Kluyveromyces lactis: one gene and its partner. The protein of the gene in region 2 binds, or shares a complex with, the protein of the main gene of each other region. Links are inferred from orthologs where the notes say so. Each region holds a gene or a part of one and is shown on either strand. Other genes may lie near its edges.

The links. Proteins that work in one complex are often made in the same cells at the same time.
Region 1: SLH1 (region 2) and CUE3 share a complex: the UniProt entries of both Saccharomyces cerevisiae proteins name them as parts of the RQT (ribosome quality control trigger) complex. The link is inferred for Kluyveromyces lactis from reciprocal best matches to the Saccharomyces cerevisiae genes SLH1 and CUE3.

The regions. Positions count from the first base shown.
Region 1 is NC_006042.1:973,511-977,102, reverse strand, and holds CUE3 (Cue3p), read right to left. Parts: upstream 2,385-3,592; coding exon 501-2,384; downstream 1-500. Other genes in the region: ribosome biosynthesis protein NSA1, read left to right, coding at 1-405; VHC1 (Vhc1p), read left to right, coding at 2,650-3,592. UniProt on the Saccharomyces cerevisiae protein: Involved in activation of the ribosome quality control (RQC) pathway, a pathway that degrades nascent peptide chains during problematic translation.
Region 2 is NC_006037.1:863,928-868,231, reverse strand, and holds the start of SLH1 (RNA helicase), read right to left. Parts: upstream 2,811-4,304; coding exon 1-2,810. Other genes in the region: JNM1 (Jnm1p), read right to left, coding at 3,039-4,121. UniProt on the Saccharomyces cerevisiae protein: Involved in activation of the ribosome quality control (RQC) pathway, a pathway that degrades nascent peptide chains during problematic translation.

The sequences.
Region 1 (3,592 bases), on a different chromosome or scaffold from region 2:
GAGCTTGAATTCTTAGCAGCAGACTCCAGAAAAGATGTGTACCAATTCAACGGCAAGGGACGCTTGTTGAGAAAGATTGCCAAGGGCGACATTACTGGTTTTGCATCTTGCATTGCTGTTACCGATAAATACTTACTTCAAGGTGGTTTGGACAGGTATGTTCGTATCTTTGATTTAGCCGATTATAAGCTCCTGGCAAAGATATTCACAGGCGGTAAGGTTTCTGATATTATACTCTTAGAAGACAATGACTTGGAATTACCTTTAACTGAAAAGCAATTGAAAATGAAGAAGAAGAAGGAAGCCAAAAGAAGCATCGTCGAAGCTGATGAAGATGCTGAAAATGAGGATCTTTGGAATAAATTAGAATCCAAGAAAAGGAAAGTTTCGAAGAATGATATTTAAAGTAAATGCATTTCATAATATCTACAGATAAATAGGAAGATACAGGATAATCGACTTCAATTTTCGTAAATGTATCTATACTGGTCTAATGTTCATCATAAAACACCACTTTTAGCTAACTTTTTATCGTGTCCCGCTTTTCTATTATGATTAGCACGACTTGATTTTAGTTTCTCGTTACGAGCATTTTTTCTCTTTTGTTGTTCTTTGGTAAGAGGTTCTTTGGTAGTAGGTGTTTTCTCTCTGCCAGAATCATTATTACTGTTAGTGTTAGGTGAATTTACGGTGCTGTCAACTACATGATGATCAAAACCTTCTTTATCCTCTCGTGCTTTTGTAAACGTCTTCTTGCCTTGCCGAACGTTCCCTTTGAAAATATACTTTTCTTCTAGCAGTTGTGCCCTCTTTGGACTCTTCTCAATCATTCTTGACCAACCTTCAATTTGTTCGTCAGACCAGTTAGTCTCTTTCTTCATTTCTTTCCGCTGTTTCGAGCCCCGTTGCTGACGGGAGAAAAGATTTTTATCCCTTTTCAATAATTCCCATAGATATCCTTCAATTTTATCGTACTTAGATGTGCCTGGTGTTATGGTTGATACCTTTGCTGTGTCAGAAGTATCGACGCTTACACGATCTGCAGAAGCTTGCTTAACTTCTGCATCGTCGTAGGTGTCATCCCTTTCATCTTCTGTGGCATCATATAGAAGGGATAAAGCTCTTGATAATGTTTTGTTTCTGACAGCATCAGGTACGTCGTTTGTAGGGAATAACATGTTTTTCTTTTCAATTTTGTCCTTCGGAGTGATGGCTGGCAATAAATTCTCCTTCGGCTTATGTTCCTCCATCAGGTTTTCGGTCGTATTCTGTATTTCGTCATCCTGCAGTGGCCCATCTTCGAGTGAAGATATCACAGATGGATTTTCAAACAAGTTATTGATTATAACTTCCGTGTTATTATCATACCTCTGCAATAATTTTGTTATCTGGTTAGAAGTAAGGTCCGGAAATAGTTCCTTGATTGTGTCTATTTGTTCAACATTGACACTAGGCATTAGCAGACCGCTTAAATGGGGAGCTGCCTTCGGTTCCTCTTGTATATCCAAAAAGGGGATTTTAGTTTTAATATGTGGCAACTTTTCCTGAAACCTGGCATCAATTAGAAGTGACCCTAAAAGTGGATACATTGAAAGTGTTCGTAAGTTCGTTATGCTCATTTGCTTTAACAAATCAGCCAAATGTGTGACGCTGCAGGACAAAAAGCTTAATATTCCAAGTTTCTTTCCCCAATCTGATAAATAACTCCCTGGTTCCTTGCCATACATTGACTCTAATGTATCAACCCACTTGGCAGACACAAAATTATCTGTAAATGAACTCTTCGCCTTATCATCAGCAGCTAAAAGCAATTCCAGAGACTTTAAATCCACTCTACTAAATTTATTGGCTTCTATCAAATATCTTATATGTTGCTGTATCTGGTACGTCCTATCCAATTGTGCTTTCTGAGTATTAATGGTCGGTCTTAAAGATCCTTCGATCAACGATCTGACAGTGGTTGCATTTCCCTCGACGTAGGACCGTGTTATGTCCCATAGAGACTCTGTATTCAACTTCAAGTATAGTAGCCCACAGCTTTTAATCAACTGTAAAACGTAAGCTCTTAAAAGCTCTAATTGCTTCAAAACATCTGCATTAATTCCCAAAGAAAGAAGTTTTCCTTCTTCTTCACTCATTTCATGCACATAAGCCTTAACGAAAATGCATAGATGATCAATGGTCTCATCACTGAGAAAGTCTAAGTTGTCACCATGTAATAAATAACTCATATGTTGCACATAAACTTCCAGCAAATGGAGCCATATCACCGGATCTTTCTCAACCATCGCCGCACGTAGCTTAAAAGGAGGGAACTTAACGATCGCCAGAGATATTTTCTCTTTGGCATTTATCTCCAAAACCCTCTGGTATCTTGTAGTCATCGTTTTCGTTGATTTTCACCTGTTAGATGGTAGTTCTGAGCATGCCTGAATGCTTCAAACATGATCGAACCATATCCATCAATCTCTCTGCATTTCAAATCTCTTCTTGCTCTATGGTGAAATTTCAAAAATCTTTCAAAAATGATAGACCCTTAAAGGAATTCGTCAAATCAAGCAAAGATAAATAACGAAGCGATAAAAATATTCAGATTAGCAGTGTTTTCAATGGCAAAGGTAACGACAGTAGTGCACTGTCACCACACTGATGTCTAAGTTCTATGAACTACCGGGTTCGCACCTTCCGTCACAATCAGAGCGCTCACCGTTGCTTAAGAGAAGGTCGAGTTTAACGTATTTCAAATATCAAGACACACCGTTACAACAAGAACAATCTTCAAAATATGATCTAGAGAATCCCCATAGAAATAAATTGGGAACATTCGATGGAGTATTTATACCCACTACGTTAAATGTGCTCTCAATTTTAATGTTCTTGAGATTTGGTTTCATAATAGGACAGATGGGTATTTTGGGAACATTTCTATTGTTAATCTTATCTTTTATCATTGATGTATCAACCACATTGAGCATTTCAGCTATATCGACCAACGGTACAGTGAGAGGTGGTGGTGCATATTACATGATTTCACGATGCCTAGGTCCTGAATTTGGAGGTTCTATTGGTCTTATCTTTTTCATTGGCCAAATTTTGAATAGTGGTATGAACATAGTTGGTATCGTGGAACCGTTGTTATACAATTTTGGTATCTCGGAAGGTGTGCTAACTCAAGTACTTCCAGAAGGGCATTGGTACCAATTTGGATACTCTACGGTTTTGCTTCTGTTATGTCTGGCGGTGGCTATGATTGGTTCACAGACTGTCTCGCGTGCTGGTAACGTTCTATTCTGGTTGCTATTGGCTTCTACAATCTCGATTCCTATCTCTGTTTTATTTGTGAAGCCTTTCGAACTTAATGGAATCGTGTACACAGGACCGTCTTTACAGATACTCAAACAAAATCTATATCCGAAGTTTACAAAGGGTGCAGCAGGCTCGGTGTTGAAGGGTTACGAAACGTTCAATGATCTATTCGGGATTTTTTTTCCAGCTACGGCAGGAATATTTGCTGGCGCCGGTATGTCCAGTGAATTGCGTAAGCCTTCCAAATCCATACCTAAGGGAACCCTTTGGGGCCTTCTGTTAACCT
Region 2 (4,304 bases):
TGATCAAATGCCCACATTCTCTTTTCGATGGACTTGCATATATCTAGCATAACTTTTGAAAACGTGCCCCATCTTCTATTAATACCAATTAGAAGTAATGCCCTACATATTCTTGCAGAATTCTGAGCAATGTAATTTGCATCTGAATTTAGTGCAGAGTCATTAATTCTGCTTTGAGAAACATACGCTTGTAGAAGAATATTTGTCTTACCAGGTGAACTGTCGACGTCCCCAGAAATCTGACATTCAACGGCACAGTCAAGAAGTTTATTTAATTCATTAGATTCTTCTTCTCTGAACTTGATGGAATCGAATTCGCTGCTCATACTAATCATGGCTAACACATCTGCTTCAGTAGCCCTTGGATTAGCAACTTGGTTAAAGATTTCGACAGACTCATTAAGTAAATAAAACTCGGAAGCAATTCTTCCCAAATCCTTTGGAATGAAATGCATTGAAACTTCATCGAAAACAATCATTTGTAGAGAATGTAGACGACGGGCGGCTGTTATGATGATTTGTCTTCTCTTCTCGTACAATTGCGGATCATTTCGGATCTCTTCCCAATCAATACCATAAGTAAAAGGATTCTGTTTCATCCTGACAAACATGTAAGTATATCCTAACCACTTCACACCTTCCTCAACGTTCGTGACTGTTCCAAGAGATATTTCGGCATTCAAGTTGTCGACAACCTTAGCACCTAGTCTTGATTCAATAGGATGTTGTTGCGTGATTAGGTCGACATAATGATCTAAACGGTCGTTTGAAGTACATAAGTAAGCAGTACCATAATCAGAACCAAACCCTGGTCTACCAGCACGACCGAAGATCTGAATAACATCTGAAATTCCAAGATCAGTGTAACCACCTTTCTTGGAGTCATAAACCTGGGTTCCCTTGATAATGACACAATCAGCAGGTAAATTGACACCCCAAGCTAATGTAGCTGTACAAACAAGTACATTTACGGCTCCGCTTTTGAACATTTTTTCTGTTATATTACGATCTGAACGTGACATACCGGCGTGGTGAACACCAAACCCTGATTGGAATAACTCCTTAAGATCTTTATCTTTATGTTTGGAAAGTTCCTTTTGAAATATTGTTACGGAAGCATCGTTACTTGTGAATAAATCCATCTCATAATTGTCTCTTGCCATACTTATAAGTGTTCTGGCAGTTTTTACAGTATCCTTTCTTGAATGCACAAAGATCATCACTTGATTACCAAGTTTCATCATTTCTACGGCCTTCTCGTAGGCAACTTTATCGGTATTTTCTCTACATTGCTTACTTCCTGCTTTTCCTCTGCAACCAATCAAATGTTGTTCTAACGCTTTGGGCCTAAAAGACTGGTCGAAATAGAACATCCCGACATTCCTGTTTACACCTAAGAAATCAGCAACATCTACGAAATTCGGTAAGGTAGCAGATAAACCTAAGATACGGATCATGGTCTGCGAACTTTCTACCTGTCTTAAAGTACGTGCCACCAAACTTTCAATGACTGACCCTCTATCTTCATGTAATAAATGAACTTCGTCTAAAATTAATAATTTCACCTTTGAAGTAAGGTCATTGTCACCACTTGCTTTACGTGTGACCACATCCCATTTTTCAGGTGTTGTAACAATGACTTGAGTTTCAAGAATCTCTCGCTTCGTTAGTTGCATATCACCTGTAAGTTCACGAACCTTGACATCAAACACGGATAGCTTACGAGCAAACTTGTCAGTGATTTCAGCTGCTAAAGCCTTAAGTGGAGCCACGTAGATAATTTTGAAATCATCATATTCAATGTCAAACCCGCCTTCTTCATTTATGACGGAGAATTGTTTGATTGTATTTAATATAGTCAATAAAGCAATATCGGTTTTACCTGCACCAGTTGGAGCGCAGATCAACATGTTACCATTTGTATTGTACGCTACCGGGTAAACCAAGGACTGTACCTTATTCAAATAATCATACTCGAATACTTTACGGCAGTATTCATCCAAATCACTGACTTTGACCAATGGAATATCGAATTTTCTTTTCGGTACAGCGCATGGAATTGTTATCTCTTCATGTGTTTGGAAAGTATATCTCATGCTTCCAGCTGGTAATGCAAATTTTTGACCTGCAAAAGAAAGCATTGACGATCCAGCATCCTCCGACTGTCTAAAGACATGTGGATACTTTACTTTTCTTTGTGCAGTAGCCAATTTAGCGTTTTTACCTTTTTCCCTATTCTTGAGGACTTGTCTTCTCATGTCCTCTTCGGTCATGAATCGGTTTCCCTCGTAAGTATCCGAATTAGACATATGTTCAATCGGAGTGTGTTTCAATATCTCTTGATTCTCAATTAGAAACGATATCAGCTCGATGTTTTCAGCACCTAGGTAATCGAAGAGATCTTGGTCCGCAGTTCCAGTATTTTCATTGTTCCTCAACAACTCGATCAACTGCTGTAGTAGTTGATCTCGAGGGAAATCAGAATCAACATTATCAAGTAGTCTGAATAGCTCTTTGTATACTTGTGCTTGTGCATTAGAAGCTGAATGATTGGATGTAATCAACGATTGTAAGTTATCAGATGAAAGGTTTGCAAACTCTTCAAATATATCATCCCATTCATTCCTATCCTGAGAAGTTACCAACAATTTATTTCTATTATCACTACGCTTAGTACCCTTCTTCAATTCCTCATCGACCTTAGGGATTGTGCTTGTATCTAGATGAGGGAATGCCTGAGCTGCTGAAACCATTACTTCCATCGCCTTCATATAAGAGCCCACGGAATGGACTGAATAAGTCGTACTCATCCTGTACAAAGATTAATATTATCAACCCTATAGCCAAACTACAGTATAACGACTGTAACGGTTTTCCAATATGGGCTTTACGTTGATCTTCTTGTGTTAAAGTCAACTTAAAAGGTGTTCTTTGCTAAAGATTACGAATTATGATTCTTGTGCACTTTTAACAATGCGAAGAGATGAGCTATAAAAAAAAAGGCTACTGACTACTAGTATTAACTATCCATAGAAACGCTATTGGCCACTCAATTTACCTATTCTCACCTCTAGATCGTTGAGCTGTAACTCTAGTTGATGCCTAGTCCGCTTGAAGGATTGTTCTCTGTCGGTAAGCTGTCGTGACGTGGATTCTAAGAGCGATGACCATTTTTCGATCTGAGAATGAACTGAAGACATATGATCGTTAATCTCAGATACCGTATCGTTCATGTCATTCACAGAGGTATGTAGAACGTTTAGCGACTGTACACGTTCTGTGATTTGTGGAATCACTTCCGAGTACTTGTTTAAGATGTTATACTTATCGTAAATGTCATTGACCTTAGATTCTGTAGATTTTAACTTCCTTTCGATATCAGTAGATAGATTTGGGTCTTTCTGAGCTCTCCTTCCGATGATCGACTGGTCATACTGATCACTTATCTCTTTCATTTTATTTTGGAATCCAGTCAACGTCGGTTCATCCAACTTGAGGATATTAATCTCTCTGTGAAGTTCATTGATGATTGACGTTATCGATTTATTCGTATTCGAGGGTCCGATTTGTGACTCCAATATGGAAATCTTATGCTCAATATCCTCCAGCTGCTTCAATTGGTTGATTTCTATCCTGATGTTTGGAAGTGTAACCTCATTTTCTGTATCCTCGTCTGATGCTATGACCAATTGGCTTTGTATGTTTTCCATTGTACTTTCCGTAGACTGAGCCAACGTTTCATACAATTGCTTCAAGTTCTGTAATTCGTTTGAGGAACCATCCTCCTCGGAATCCTGCTCTATCTCAAGGAGCTCCCTCCGTATCCTTGCCAGCCTCTGCCTTCTTGTTTCATTTATATGTCTGATATTATACGTCGGCAGTGCGTATAGTTTTCCTGAAAAATCGGTATCCTCCGAACTTAGCACAGAATGCTCGAACCTTTCGTTATTCTCTTGAACCTTAGGTATTTCCTCCTCAATTATATCTTCATTTGCCTCGGTAATCACTACTTGGTCTGGTGTTTCTTCAACATCACTGGTCTCATACACTTCTTTCCCTGTATCGCCTTGTAACCCTAATTGTTCCACCTCAGTAGATAGATCGATTATTTCAACAGCCATGAGTTATTCCCGGTCTCTAGTTATGAATGTGCGCTAGTATGTCCCATATATCGGTCCCTAATCGGGTTGTGATCTTTAACTGTTCAATAGTTAATAAGTTTCATAGATATGAAACCTTAGAATCGAATTTAGTTCTTTTCAATCAATACACTACAATATATTACATTGGGAAGTGAAAATGGA